2 linked regions of the Stegostoma tigrinum genome follow. The protein of the gene in region 1 interacts with the protein of each later gene in a pairwise test. Links are inferred from orthologs where the notes say so. Each region holds a gene or a part of one and is shown on either strand. Other genes may lie near its edges.

Evidence for each region.
Region 2: the proteins of uba3 (region 1) and cpne2 interact in binary tests that used the Homo sapiens proteins (3 or more experiments, as listed by UniProt). The two-hybrid records come from large-scale screens. The link is inferred for Stegostoma tigrinum from reciprocal best matches to the Homo sapiens genes UBA3 and CPNE2.

Annotation. Positions count from the first base shown.
Region 1 is NC_081364.1:43,405,527-43,413,348, forward strand, and holds the start of uba3 (NEDD8-activating enzyme E1 catalytic subunit), read left to right. Parts: upstream 1-4,625; 5' UTR 4,626-4,678; coding exon 4,679-4,698; exon of another isoform or gene 4,699-4,769; intron 4,770-4,811; coding exon 4,812-4,850; intron 4,851-6,113; coding exon 6,114-6,234; intron 6,235-7,822. UniProt on the Homo sapiens protein: Catalytic subunit of the dimeric UBA3-NAE1 E1 enzyme. E1 activates NEDD8 by first adenylating its C-terminal glycine residue with ATP, thereafter linking this residue to the side chain of the catalytic cysteine, yielding a NEDD8-UBA3 thioester and free AMP.
Region 2 is NC_081369.1:15,690,352-15,698,095, reverse strand, and holds the start of cpne2 (copine-2), read right to left. Parts: upstream 3,159-7,744; 5' UTR 3,028-3,158; intron 1-3,027.

The sequences.
Region 1 (7,822 bases):
AGAGCTGCAACAAGATCTCTCGACTTTTAAACTCAATCCCCATGTTAATGAAAGCCAAAACACCATATGCTTTCTTAACAACCCTGTCCACTTGGGTGGCCATTTTAAGGGATCTATGTATCTGCACACCAAGATCCCTCTGTTCCTCCACACTGCCAAGAATCCTATCCTTAATCCTGTACTCAGCTTTCAAATTCGACCTTCCAAAATGCATCACCTCGCATTTATCCAGGTTGAACTTTCTAATTCTTGCCTCATTTTGTTCCACTTGGCTTTGTGATGATCCAAACATTACAACTCCTTTTTTTTGTTAGATTGGTTAGTTCAGTCCAGTTTCTGGTCAACTATAATCCCCAGGATATTCACAGTCGAGGATTCAGTGATGGTAATGAATTCCAATTCCGTGATAGTTAGAATCTCTCTTGTTGGAGATGGTCATTACCTGGAACTTGTGTGATGTAAATACTATTTGCCACATCAGCCCAAGCCTAGACATTATCCATATTTAGGACATGGACTGCTTCACTTCCTAAGGAATCACAAATAGTGCTGAACATATAGCAATTCCACTTCTGATCTTTCTGATGGAGAGGTCATTAATGAAGCAACTGAAGATGGTTAGGCCTAGGATACAACCTCGATGAATTCCTGTGGAGATGTTGTGACATTGAGATGACTGACCCCCAACAACCACAACCATCTTCCTTTTGGGCCAGGTGTAACTCCAACCAGTGCAGAGTTTCCCCAATTCCCTTTGATTCTGGTTTTGCTAGGGTCTTTAATGCCACACTTGGGTCAAATGCAGCCTTGAAGCCAAAGACAGTCACTCTCACCTCACCTGTAGAATTCAGCTCTTTTATCTACGTTTGAACCAAAGCAGTAATGAGGTCAGGCGGTGAACGGTCCTGTTGGAACTCAAACTGACTGTCAAATAGCAGGTTATTGCTAAGCAAGTGCTGCTTGAGTGCACTGTTGATGACACCTTCCATCACTTTATTGAGAGTAGACTGATGGAGTGCTAATTGTATTTGTCATGTTTTTCATTCTTACATCATTGACGTTGGATGTATTTGTTAAGTCTTCTCTAGTGAGTTGTTCACCACCATTCAAGCCTGGGTTTAGCAGGACTGCAGATTTGATCTGTTGGTAGTGGAATTGCTTAGCTCTGTCTATCACTTGCTGTTTATACAGTTTGGTGAGAAAGTAGTTTGTAGCTTCTTCAGGTTGATATCTCATTTTTAGGTTTGACTGGCACCAGTCCTAGCATGCTGTCCTGCAATCTCCATTAAAATTTGGAGCATAAAATTATGTGGAGCAATTATGTCAATTATGCAATGTATCCCTGAAAAATACAAGGAAATATAGTAATATCTCTGAATCTCTACAGTGTGGAAGCAGGCTATTTGGCCCATCGAGTCCACACCACCCTCCAAATAGGATCTCACCCACACTTCAGATCCTGCTTTTCCCATGGCTAATTGCCCCAACCAGATATCCCTGGACACTATGGGTAATTTAGCATGGCCACTCCACCTAACCTGCACATCTTTGGACTGCGGGAGGAAACCAAAGCACCTAGAGGAAACCCATGCAGACATGGGAGAATGTGCAAACTCCACACATACAGATGGATTAGATAGTGCAGACTACATCAAAGTATTTCATTTTAATCAATTTGCACTTGAATGGGGGAGAACTCAGAACTAAACTCGGAGACAAAACAAACTTGGGCTATTATTCGTCTGTCAATTTCTACTATCCTATTGTATAAACATTAGCATGCCAAAACTTCTTGCACATTTGATATTACTTTGTCTCCTACTTTAACAAAATTGGCAACTCATCCATTTCTCACAAATGAATGATGGTATTAAATGTCTGACGTAAAATACATATATCCTAATGCTGTACAGATTAGTTTTGGGCTTTAAGATTCAAATTTTCCATTTTCTGTGTTTTTCTTCTTTATTCTTCCCTGGGATGCAAGCATCACTGCCAAGGTCAGCATTTGTTGCCCATTCCTAATTGTATGCCAGGCCATTTCAGAAGGCACTAAAGAGTCTTGCTTTGGTCTGGAGTTTCATGCAGACTAGACTAGTTAAAGATGGCAGATTTGCTTCCCTAAAGGGCTTTAGTGAATCAAACATATTTTTAAAACAATCAATGATAGGTACATTACTGAGACTAGTGGATTTTTTTCAGCATTCCAAATTTTTGTATTGAACTTAAATTCCACCAGTTGCTGCCTCTGGATTACTGATGCAATAATATCACCACCGTGTCACCATCTTGTCCCGTGGGAGATTCTACAGAATTATTCAATGTCAACAAAAAGAACATTTATAGTTTTTTTACAGACCAATTTTGTACAAGTTTCACTGATGAGTTCTTGAAATTAACTGCTTTGGTTAAATGTGACATACTTTCTCCTTACAGGTAAACACAGTTCTATGCTTTCAAAGTTGTTTCTCAATCTACCTTGCAAATTATATGAGATAACAAGGTGTGGAGCTGGATGAACACAGAAGGCAAAGCAGCACCTTAGGAGCACGAAAGCTTTTGCATTTCAAGGCGAGTGGCATAATTAGATTGAAATGGAAATGTGCTGAGGGGACAGGATTGGAAGAAACAGTGACTTTGGCTACAACTGTGGCATTGTTCTAAAACTATTTACTTTGCTCAGGGCAAAGCCACTATTTTTTGCTCTTTAGCTTTCTAAAAGCAGAGTTGTCATGTAGTTCTGTGTGCTGAACAAATCAACAGTAGGGGACAAAAATTGGTGGCTTTGCCCTGAGCAAAGAAGATAGTAAATAGTTTTAAAACAATGCCACAATTGTAGCCAAAGTCATTGTTCCTCCCAATCCTACCCCCTCGCACATTTCCATTTCAATCTAATTATGCAACTGGCCTTGAAATGCAAAAGTTTGCAATAATTTTGTGAGATCATGAACTCCTGCCTACAGCAGAATTCCACCCATCCTGAAGAAGCAGCAATGTTGGGTAGTTGGTAGGAATATCTCTGACAGTGGTGGAAGCTGTGGTGGTTACACCATATTTGTGACAGCCTGGTACACAGACACACAGTAATGTATTCCTCCAGATCAGCAGGGTTTTGCGATTATGTCCTTATTTAGCCACTGCTGTTTAAAGACACTGCAGTCCACACAGAGTGGGGACAAAAATGGGAATAACTGTAACATTGGGATATTTCTAATCTTTGAATTGTCAGCATTTTTGCTTGTCTCAGCTGCTTTGTTTTTAATTCACAAATTTCACTAGAAATATTAATCATGTAGGTTGTAATAAAGTGAAGTGTGACCTCTGGAATTCTGAGCGGGAAACTGAATGAAACATGCTGTCTGCAGACAAATTGCTCAATTAAACCAATTGCTCTGTTTATAAGACTAGCACATGGGTGGAGTGAGAGTCAAGCAAAACACTAAGTTCTGTTTAAAACAGAGAGAGCGCCTTGAATTTTACAGGTCAATTAGTCTAACATCAGTTTGATAAAACTAATAGACACCATGATTGGTGGGCAAAGCAGGATATGGAGCATTCTATTAATGATATTATTGATTGGAGTTGGGTATTTGTTTTGGGGATATTTAAGTTTAATTGGTCATCTGCTATGGCTAGAGCAGCACGGTGGCTCAGTGGTTAACACTGCAGCAGGGACCCAGGTTTGAGTCCAGCCTCAGGCGACTGTCTGTGTGGAGTCTGTACGTTCTCCCAGTGCTCCAGTTTATTCCCATAGGCCAAAGATGTGCAGGCTAGGTGGATTGGCCATTAAATTGCCTGTAGTGTTGAGGGGTGTGTGGGTTATAAGGGGATGGGTCTGGGTGGGATGCTTCAAGGGGCGATGTGGATTTGTTGGGCCGAAGGGCCTGTTTCCATGCTGTAGGGAATCTATATAAAACAGATATTTCTGATGACTTTAATACCGATGTCATTTCTCAAAGGCATTTCCAGAACCTAAATTTTGCATAGCAATGGCTATCTCAATTCTTAAATTCTCAAATCCAAATCAATGTCCCTGAATAAAGATCTTTTACTCATAATTCAATTGTCTGAGTTTATAAGTGTCTCATATTGCCAACCTCTTCATCTCACTCAAAAATTCTGCATTGTTCCTGCAATATAGAGACTAAAAATGAACATGGCAGTCAAAATGCAACCTCACTGACCCAAATACAGATTGAGCATCCCCCAAATTTGATTTCTAAATCCCAACGTTTTGGGTTCCTTTTGACTAGCTACAAACAAACACAATGATTTTACTGAGCATTTTCCTATCCTCCACATTATGCAACAATCTGTGTTAAAAGTACAGACACTTGAGCTGCTGTTTAACATCTGCCAATGACAGCCGTGATCCGAACAACAGCAGCGACAATGAACTTCACTAACGTGCAATCTTGAATTTTTTTTTGTCTCTTTGCTAACCTTGGAGTACTGCAGAATCAACTTTGATCCACTTAACAGCAAGGTCTGACCACCAGTCACTGACAACCCAAACTGCAGGCTGTCCAAAGGCAAATGATGACGTCACTCCCTGACAGCCAGTTGTCTTGGGGGGATGGAGAAAGGATTGGCCGCTGGGATTGTGGGATGTCATGATTGGTCGGCGGCAATGGACCGTCCCAGCCGTGGCTGCGCTGGCTGATGGGAGCAGGAAAATATGGCGGATGTACCGGAGCCGTGAGTATCTCTGCGTGAACTCCGGCCGCTCAGGCCTCTCTCGCATTGACTTCTGCTCGTTCTTCTCTCGGGTGAGCATGTCTGAACCTTCTTTTATTCTCTCTTTTTTTTAGGGAGAAGAAAAGAAGGAAAGTAGAAGAGCACACTGACAAGTTAGTGTTGAATGAATTTAGCGGCCCTGATTTTCTGCTTGCGAGGTCTGAGGCTGGAGGCTTGTTATGAGCTGCAGCTCCGAGCAGTGGGATCAGTGCGGCCTCAACCTGCATCCTTATTCGTCCTAAACTCGGGAATTAACTGCTTGGAGGAATAGGAATATATTTTTTAAAGGAGGAGGAAATCTGTTGGGATTGCAATAAGTGTTAAAACATTAAATAGCCTTATTAAACATTTATTCATTGGCGTGAATTAAATTGACGTGACATGAACTAAATTGACGTGACATGAACTAAATTGACAGCTAAAAACTCCCAGTTGTGTTTTGCATCATTTGTATAGGAGACCTGATTAACGCATAACCAGTTTTAATTGGGGTAAATCTGTATTTCAGTCGTTGTCTAACTCGCTAAAGTTGTGATTAAATGTTATGTTTACATTTTTAGAAGTCGATTCTATGTGTTGCTTCTCAGCACCAAATAATCTCCTCTTCTATAATATGCAGCATTTTTTGAAATTTCTGACCCTTGTAATATTACTGAAATGTAAGAAAGAAATATTATAGGTCCTAACTGAATACCCGTATAAAAATGGTTCAAGGTAACAATCCCATGTCTTTTCAATTCGATTAGAAAGTCCCTAATTTTGATATAGTACTGTATGTATTTTGGCTCCTTTTCAATCCTGCTCCTTTATGTTATACTGGGCGCCCATGACAAATGTTTTGCTTGCATACTCATCTTTGATTGTAGCTTGTAAAGTTACAATCAGTAGTTTGTTTTTCTATTTTCTTTCCCTTGTCTATGCTACAGCACATTAGAACTATCCCTTGTTAGGAGGTTGTGGGGAATTGCAAATTCAGTGAAAATAATTTACACTTTAATTTTAGCTGGTGTCAGTGCTGCTTGTAAAATTTAACAACTATTCCAAGAAAGGATGTTTGCACCAGTTTTAATTGGGGTAAATCTGTATTTCGGTCGTTGTGTAACTCGCTAAAGTTATGATTAAATGTTATGTTTACGTTTTGGTGTTGAGATTGCTGAAAATTCCCCATCTGAGAGATTCTTTGTCTGATTTGAGGCCTTGTAATACTAAAGTAAAATTAGAGTTGTTTGAGGCTCATTCAGTCTCCATCTTTAAAGAAATGTAAATACTACTTTTGAGAATGTCTAAGACAAGTAGTTCTCTTAAATAATATTTCTAATAATTATGCTGTGTTGTGAAAACTAAATCTCTAGTTGAGTTTATTGTGTTCTGTGCAGAATGGCTGTTGATGGTGGGTATGGGGACACTGGAGACTGGGAAGGTCGCTGGAATCACGTGAGGAAGTTCCTTGAGCGTTCAGGACCGCTCTCACACCCTGACTTTGAACCAAGTACTGAAGTGAGAAACGTTGTTATAAATCTAAGTTTGGTACTTGATAGCAGCTGTGAATTTCTTTTTGCTTTTGCTAAATGTTTATGTCACAGTGAGAACAAACAACGTCGGATATCAGTAAGTCACGCAATAGCTGCTTAAATTAGGAAACCTACCACTGATGCAAAACCTCAATATTCTGTTTTGCTGTTTTTGTTTGCTGACACAAAACAACAGCTTTGAGCAAACTCTCGAGTTGCAACATCTATAAACAGTATTTCCTTATCTTTGTGGTGAAATGTAGATAGCTTGTCTGGTTTGTCAAAATCCTGCTAATGGGTTAAGTTTAAAATTCCCCTGTTTGTGGCTACAAATTGAAAGCAATCGATTTAGGTCTAAAATCTTAGTCTGTTACATTTTAGTCAGTTTCTATTTTTAATGTAAACACACGAATTTTCATGCAAAAGTTTGGAAAATGGAATTTGCTGCCATACCACAGTAATTGAAACACTGACTTTAGTGCATTTCAAGGGTCATGAGATGAGCACACAATGGAGAAAGCAATAGAATGATTGAGTAAAATGAAGAATCTAGCTGCAATTACAACTTGTTACCAGATTAACGTTGTGATGTCTTAATTTTGTACATCCCAGTTACTTTGCCTTACTGTGCAAGATCAGCTGCTTTGTAGATTTCCAAATTGCCATAGCTTGTTCCATTTAATTGGAAATATAAATACATTAATGGAAGCATTATGGACAATTAGGGACAGAACGTATGTATTTTTCAAGCAATATCCTCCACACAAATTCCATTTTGTACCGTGTGCCTTTGTTTTATCAGTGATTTGACTTCAGAGCAAATTTTCAAAGGCCTTTTTAAAATCTTAATATACCAGATCTGCTGTTTCTGTCAATAGACTGCAGTCTTTGTAGCTACTTGTAATTGGCAGTTGGGAAATGCTCATAGCTCCTGGTCATGTAGCACAGAAGAGGTCTCTGGCCTATCAAGTCGGCACCGAATCCCACTTTCCAGCATTTGACTTATAGCCTTGAATGTTAGGACCTTTCAATTGCACATTGATGTACTTTTGAAAAGTTGAGATTTTCCGAAGGTTGCAGGAACAGCAACTCATATTCCGCTTGGGAACCCTGCAGCCCAATGGTATCGATGTGGACTTCACCAGCTTCAAAATCTCCCCTTCCCCCACTGCATCCCAAAACCAGCCCAGTTCGTCCCCTCCCCCCGCTGCACCACACAACTAGCCCAGCTCTTCCCCTTCACCCACTGCATCCCAAAACCAGTCCACCCTGTCTCTGCCTCCCTAACCTGTTCTTCCTCTCACCCATCCCTTCCTCCCACCCCAAGCCGCACTTCCATCTCCTACCTACTAACCTCATCCCTCCTCCTTGACCTGTCTGTCTTCCCTGGACTGACCTATCCCCTCCCTACCTCCCCACCTATACTCTCCTCTCCACCTATCTTCTTTTCTCTCCATCTTCGGTCCGCCTCTCCCTATTTATTCCAGAACCCTCACCCCATCCCCCTCTCTGATGAAGGGTCTAGGCCTGAAACGTCAGCTTTTGTGCTCCTGAGATGCTGCTGGGCCTGCTGT
Region 2 (7,744 bases), on another chromosome or scaffold:
CTCTATGTGTCCTACAGCATGAAATATTGGTGAGCTGTCATGGTCTCTCGGAGCCTTTGCAGGTCAGAAATGTTTTTTTTTGTCTAAGTTGCCCGAAGGATCGTTCCAGAGTTCAGAGGAAGGGTACACATCTGAAAAGGAGAATTTTTATTCTCACCATGGATTCTGCCTGACCTGCTGTGTATTTTCCTACTTTTTGTCAGATGTTCAACAGTTGCAAGTATTGCTAAAGCCATTCTTCTTTGTCTCTTCTGGGGCTTTGGATGTTAATGTAGGTAGAAATTGCACCAAGTATAAATGAATTGATCATTTCCGGTCTCTTTTTTCCATAACTACCTGTGTAGTTTGATGAAATAATGCAGTTCAATGTTGTAGGTGGAATCATATGTGACATTATGACCTTACCCTACTGTGTACAACAGTTTGCAAAGCAAAGACTCTCTTGATCGGTGTGCACTTGAGCAATTCTATTCTTTGTTAAGCAAATCATTTTGTTTGGAAAAAAAAGTTGAAACTTCAAAAAATTCAATTTTACATTTACACAATAAGAAACTGCATGTTTCTGAAAATATTATATTCAACTGCAATTTTCTCAGGGCAAAACTGCCAGTCAAAAGTGCCAATTTTTTGAATACTTCCCAGTGGTTCTACACAAAGTGTAAATGTAAAAATCTGGTGGCAAGAGGCCAGCTACAACGATTCTGCAGCTGGCACAGCATGAGACTGTGGACAGACTATTCATTGCTGCTGTCGCACACATAGCATCCAAAAGATTGTGATGGTACTGAATTTGGATTGCTTCTATTACATGGAGGCTGTTTAAAAAAAATTTGTAAAATGAATGCACCATAAGATAACAATAGTTACTGTGAAACACCGATTTACTGTAGTTTGCAGACAGAGCTCCAGTTTATTCAGAAGAATGAGGTTGCAGTCATCAGGCCAAGTTCAATTTCAAACCACAAATAAAATATCAGAAGTAAGCTGGATGCACAGGAGAACTTTCAGAAATAAACTTATCCTCGCTGGAAATCTAAAATCTAAGCAGTGGAATCATACAGCAGATTCAGCAGAATCCAGGGAGTGGGAAAGTAGATAATACTTCCCCATAGGCTGTTCACCAGAATATAAAGCGTGACTACTTTCCTTTGTAAATAATTGCAGCTGGAAAAATTATACCATATTGTCCGATGAGGGGTAGGAGACACCCATATCTTTAAAACTGGATTAGATGAGTAAATCATAGAATCCCTACAGTGTGGAAGCAGGCAATTCAGCCCATCTAGTCCATGTCCATCCTTCGAAGAGCATTCCCCATCCCACCCCCTGACTCACCTAATCCCTGTAACCTTGCATTTCCCATGGCTAATCCACCTAACCTGCACATCCCTGGACACTATGTACAACTCAGCATGGGAAATCCACCTAACCTGCAAATGTTTGGACTGTGGGAGGAAACCAGAGCACCCGGAGGAAACCCACACAGACACGGAGAATGCGCAAACTCCGCACAGACAGTTGCCCGAGGGTGGAATCAAACCAGGGTCCATGGTGCTAACCACTGAGCCACCATTCTGGCCTAGTCCGACAGAATTTTTGACACACACTCTATACTGGCACCCCACTGCGGTGATGAGTGAGCACTGTACTGCAAAAGGAATGGTGTTCTTCATGTGAAACATTAAGTGAAAGTCCCATCTACTCTCTTGGGTGGCTGTAAACAGATTCCATGATGTTATAAACAAACAAAGTCTTTTTGGTGAAGTCAACATGATGCCAACTCTTTCAGATCTTCAGAAAGACAATCAGACTCATGGGGCCCATGGAATCAACTTTTTCTGGCTCTCCTCCAAACCAACAAAGCTAGTGCTGTTTCTACTGTGTTTGACATTTCCATTGGCCAGACCTTGGCTAGTAGGTTATCTTAAAATATAAACTTCTACAGTTTTTATTGACTGGAAAGAGCTTTGGAAATCCTGAGATCACCTCAACCTTTCTATAAAATGGAATCTTTTACCTTTAAATGAACTATCGCAAAACTGCACTTCCAAGAAAATCATCTTTTGGGTCTGCCCTTCATCTCCAGAGAGTAGGATCGTTCTCTCATTCACAAAAAGGTGTGCATTAAATTCTACACATCCGCATCAAACATTAATCCCTCGCCCCAAGCAAATTGTGAAAATGATGGATGTTCGAATAACAATTATGATTTTCAAAAGGATAAAGCCATGATGCAAACACGAGTTGAAACATTCCGCAGTGACCTTTTAGTAAGCCAGCGCACAAACGCTGGGGGTGGAATTTAGCAATTTAAAGCGATATAATACCCTATTCATTTAGTCAGACCGTCCCCATGAACTGACCGTCCGCCGCTGTAGATTACTGTAAAGCAGATCAGATTGCTCAAGTTGACAAAGTAAAAGGGCACCGAGCAGCGCTTCGTTGCTTGTCTCATACGACTGCTTCCCCTTGCTGGCTAGTGGTTAAAGTTATAGCGCATAAGAAGGAAAAGAAACAAAACCAGTGACCTTTGTGTGATTACATACAGCGTTGACCTCTTCCCACACAGCGTCCACACACTGCAAAGTTCAGCAACTGAGCAGAAGAGAAGCCCGAGCAACTGGTCACCACTTTGATAGTTTAAACGTTTTCAGAACCTATGGTATCAGTGGGCAAAAACCGCCATCCGAGATCTTTCTGCCAAAGTACAATGGGGAATCCGTTCAGTTACTGGATTTTCCCTGTGCCTCAAGCACACCTAAATAGCACCTTGCTTAATTAAATGTCTTTAGGGAAGTTGCAGTTATAGTCAAACGCCAATGTTTATTTCTTCTCAATATGTACAGAACTGAACTGTTTAATAAGTGTATATACATAACGATTTTTTAAATGTATGAAGTATATATATATATACTTTTAAAAACCGTAGCTAGGTCAATCCTTGCTGGCTGTAAGAAGCTACTTTTTTTTGGTATTTAGAGGTTCAAAAGGCCTGAGCCTCACAATGAGAGGCTCGTTCTACCTTACCGTGAAAAACTGAAGAATGTGAGGACCCTGAACATGCCCAAACAACAGTTCGAGGCAGAGACAGTAGGAACTGCCAATGCTGGAGAATCTGAGATAATAGAGGCAGAAAGCTGTTTCGCTGATAGCCTGGGGAAACTATTGAAGCTGTTCAGTGAAGTTCATGCCGTCGCTGCCTACAGGTAACACATTCGAATACTTCAAGAAACAGCTCTGAAAAGGCAGGACTATATATCACACATTGCGGCGCGGGTGGGGGGGGGGGCGGTGGTGAGGTGGAGGTTGTTAGATTTAGAAAGAGCCTGTCACAATCTCAGGATACACCAAAACAGTTTACACAGCCAATGAGACACCGCAGCTGCAGTTAAAACAGCATAAGTGAACAGGTTGTGTGTGTTTTTCCTGATGTTGTTTGAGGGAGCCAGGGTTGTTCCAGACGCAGATAAATGCTCCTGTGCTCTGTCACTATACCTTCCGTCTGTCTGGGAGTATTCCAGAGAGAGCAGCCAGCGTTTCCCTCATTGGCCTCAGGGCTGAGAGAAGACCGTTCCCAGCTGAACCCAGCTTGATCCCCATGATTTATTTGCCCAGGGAGAGGGCGTCGCTCTACAGTTGCCCGTTTGCAATGGAACGACCGAGAGCCCACTCACGTGGAGAAGGCACTCGCTGTAAATGGGAAAGCTCGGGAGTTCCTCAGGGATCAGATTAACGAGGGGCTTTCCTATCATTGACTTACTCCCGATGGTAACAATTTGGTTCACCCTACTGAGTCAAATCTCACCCTGGACTCAAAACGCTCGGCTGGTTATATTTCCGCACTATATCGACAGCAGGATTTTTGGGGGGGGGGGGAAGAAGCGGGTGGAGGGGATGGGTTGTTTTTGAACCCTGCAAACGGAGACCCTTTCTGGAGGAAGGGACTGGTGTCAGAATTGATCGCAAGCGCGTGTATTTAGTTCGGTAAATCTGGCCGTCATCCCACCAAACCCCAACTCAACCGAAGAGGAGCAGGACGAATATGGATCCCCACTGACTACACTGTTTACTTGAGTCTCTTCCTTTGATTGTTGGATGAAGCCATAATCCAAATGTTTTTGTTTCCTCTGTGCTAATGCACTGCGTTTGTCAAGGGTTTTTTTGTGAGTAAAGTGCATCTTTGAATTTAAAGAAAAAGACTCCCTTCTGAATCACATTTGGGAATCTAAATGAATTTGCTCCTCCTCACTTATCACATGGTGACAGGTATGATTAAAAAGACGGGGTGGGGGTGGAATGTGGTTAGATTTGTAAATTGGATATACTGGCGAAGAAAAGATGAAACCAGTTTGGGATTGCACTGTGCAGGTCCAGTGTAGCAGCCCATAGCCCCTGAGGGTCCGGCACGTTGACACAGCTTGAGATACACGCATTGGATCATCAGCAAGCAGAATAATCCAAAGGATAGCAACAGTCCCACTCTATGCTTGGCCATTCATACGCCCTGCTGGTTTAGGTCCAACACCTTACCTGCGTTTTAATTCACCCTCTTCTTATCGCGGGGGCGTCCACTCCCTCCGCGCTCAGCAAGTTGCCATACGCCAGCAGAAGTTCCGAATGGAAGTTACACTCGCCACACAAGGTACAAACGCCCGGCCACCGGGAGCAGGAAGTGGCTGGAAATCCACTTGCGCCCGAACTTGAAAATTCAGCCTGAAACAGGCGCCCCTAGTACGAGACGGCAGACTGGCTCACACTGTCAGCAAACTTCTGATCATTTTCACCCCTTCCCCTCTCCTCTCCTCTCCAGTGGCAACTGTGTGTAAAACAAAACACACACATTGCTGCTGAGACTCCGCCTTGGGTTTTTTTTTGAGGAGGATGTACTCCGTTTATACAGTATAACCGGAGGAGCAATCCTGCTCTCCTGTGGCAAGCGAATGGCATTGGCTGCTTTCTCTCTCTCTCTCACACACAGGCAAAGTTAGGTTCATTGAGATATCAGACACTAGAAGCTCTCCCAGAATCCAGTATCACTGCCACCGGGTTCGAGTTATTCTTTCACATCCATCTCCATAAACAACAGTTGTAATGTGAGATAACAAGGCGTAGACATGGATGAACTCAGCAGGCCAAGCAGCATGAGAGGAGCAGCAAGGCTGACATTTCGGGTCCAGACCCTTCTTCAGAAATTGTAATGTGCTGTTTTCACCAGATACTCCGCATTGCTTTTGCCCTTTTTGTTAATATGGGAGACACCAATGATTTATTCCCCTCCACAACAGTTAAATAAAGCCCCAGTCATAGCGAAGCTTAAAACAGTCTGATTGCATTTAGTAATAATGCTACTTCTGGAGACACGCTAGTCCGTCGGAGTACCGCTAACAGGCGCCCCTTCTCCATTGCCCCTTAAAACACAGTCTCACTCTACAATTGGATTCCCCCTCTAACTTGTGAATTGAGAATGTATGCAGATCGAGCTCGACAATTCACGGGAACGTTAGTACTGGGAATGATAATCAAGATTTCAAATTAAACCGGGTCCTATATCTACTTAATAGGCTTAGTGTAACCGCATAACAATGTAAACCACTGAGAACAGGCACTGCTGGAGGAACTCAGTAACTACCAGGATGTTGTTAAACCTGAAAAGGGAGCAGAAAAGATTTACAAGGATGTTGCCGGGTCTGGAGGGTTTGAGCTAAAGGGAGAGGCTGAATAGGCTGGGGCTATTTTACCTAGAGCTTTCGACGCTGAGAGGGTAAGCTTATAGAGGTTTATAAAATCGCTGGGGGTATGGATAAGGTTAATATTCAAGGTCTTTTTCCAAGGGTGAGGGAGTCCAAAACCAGAGGGCATAGGTTTAAGGGACCTAAGGGGCAACTTTTTCATGCATAGGATGGGGAGTATATGGAATCAGCTGCCAGAGAATGGGGTGGAGGCTGATACAATTACAACATTTAAAAGGTATCTGGATGAGTACATGAATAGGATGGGTTTAAAGAGATATGGGCCAAATGCTGGCAAATGGGACTATCTCAGATTAGCGTGTATAGTTGGTGCTGAAGAATTAGACTGAGTGGTCTGTTTCCATGCTGTATGACTCTATGGTCTGAGTGAAGAAGTCATGTACCAGACTGTCCTAGACATTAAGGTAGTAAGCAAAACTAGAGTCAATGGGAAATAGGGGAAAGACTCTCTGTTCATTGCAGTGGTTGCTGGAGGCCTGTCCTTTCAGCTCCAGGACATCTCTACAGGAGTTCCTTGGGGTATTGTCATAGGCCAGTATTTCAAACTGTTCCCTCTCTTTCTCTCTTTTCCTACAGATGCTGTCAGACCTGCACTTTCTCCAGCACATTGTTTTTAATCCCGTTCTGACTGCAGTCCACTACGTGTTGCTGCCCACTGACTAACATATGCAATGCTGTAACCATAGTGTGCATTAATTGCAGTCAAGCTAAGTGGGAAAGTGCCCAGGGTCATCCCAATGACTGGATGGGTTATTTGGAGATTCTTTAGTCTATTCGTTCATAGGATGCTAAGTTTTACTGGCTGGGATAGTGCTAATTGCCCATTCCTGTTGCCCCTGACAAGGTAGCGGTGAACTGTCTTCCTGAAATGCTGCTGCCCATTTGGTATAGTTATACCACAATGCCTTAAGGAAGGTAGTTCCAGGACTTTGACCCAGTGACAGTGAAGGAAAGGTGATATAGTTTCAGGATGGTGAGTGACTTGGAGGGGAACTTGTAGTTGGAGGTGTTCCTATATAACTGCTGCCCTTGTTCTTCTAGATGTAAGTGGTCATAGGTTTGGAAGATACTGTCTAAAAATCTTTGAATTTCTGCAGTGCATCTTATAGATAGTACACAGGGCTGCTACTGAGTGTCAGTGGCGGAGGGAGTGGATGCTTGTGGATCTGGTGCCAATCAATTGGGCTGCTCTGTCCTGGAAGGTGTCGAGCTTTTTGAGTGTTATTGGAGCTGCTCTTGTCCAGGCAAATGGGAAGTATTTCATCACACTCCTGACTTGTGCCTTGTAGATGGTGGACTGGCTTTGGGAAGTCAGGAGGTGGATTACATGCTGCAGGATTCAAGCCTCTGACTTGCTCTTGTAATCACAGTATTTATATGCATAGTTCAGTCTCTGGTCAACGGTAACTCCCAGGATGTTCAGAGCGGGAGATTCAGAACGTCAAGTGACAATGCTCTCATTGTCTCTTTTTTGGAGATGGCCATTGCCTGACACTTGCACGGCTTGAACGTTGCTTGCCACCTGTCAACACAAGCCTAGATATTTCCAGACCTTGACGAATTTGGACATAAACTACTTCAGAATCTGAAGAATTGCAAATAGTGGTGAACAGCTCCATTTCTGACCTCATGATGGAGAGAAAGATGAAGCAGCTGAAGATAGTTGGGCGTAGGACAATACCTCAAGGAACTCCTGTAGAGATGTTCTGGAGCTGAAAGGACAGACCTCCAGCAACCACTCCAATGAACAGAGAGCTTTTCCCCTATATCCCATTGGCTCTAGTTTTACTTGGGCTCCTTCATGCTACACTCAGTCAACTACTACCTTAATGTCTAGGACAGTCACTCCCACCTCGCCTCTGGATTCACCACTTTTGAACTAAAGCTCTAATGGGTTTGGGACTGAGTGGCCCTGGCAAAATCCACACTGAATACAGTGAACGTGTTATTGCTAAGCACATGTTGCTTGATATGACTGTTGATAGCAACTCCCA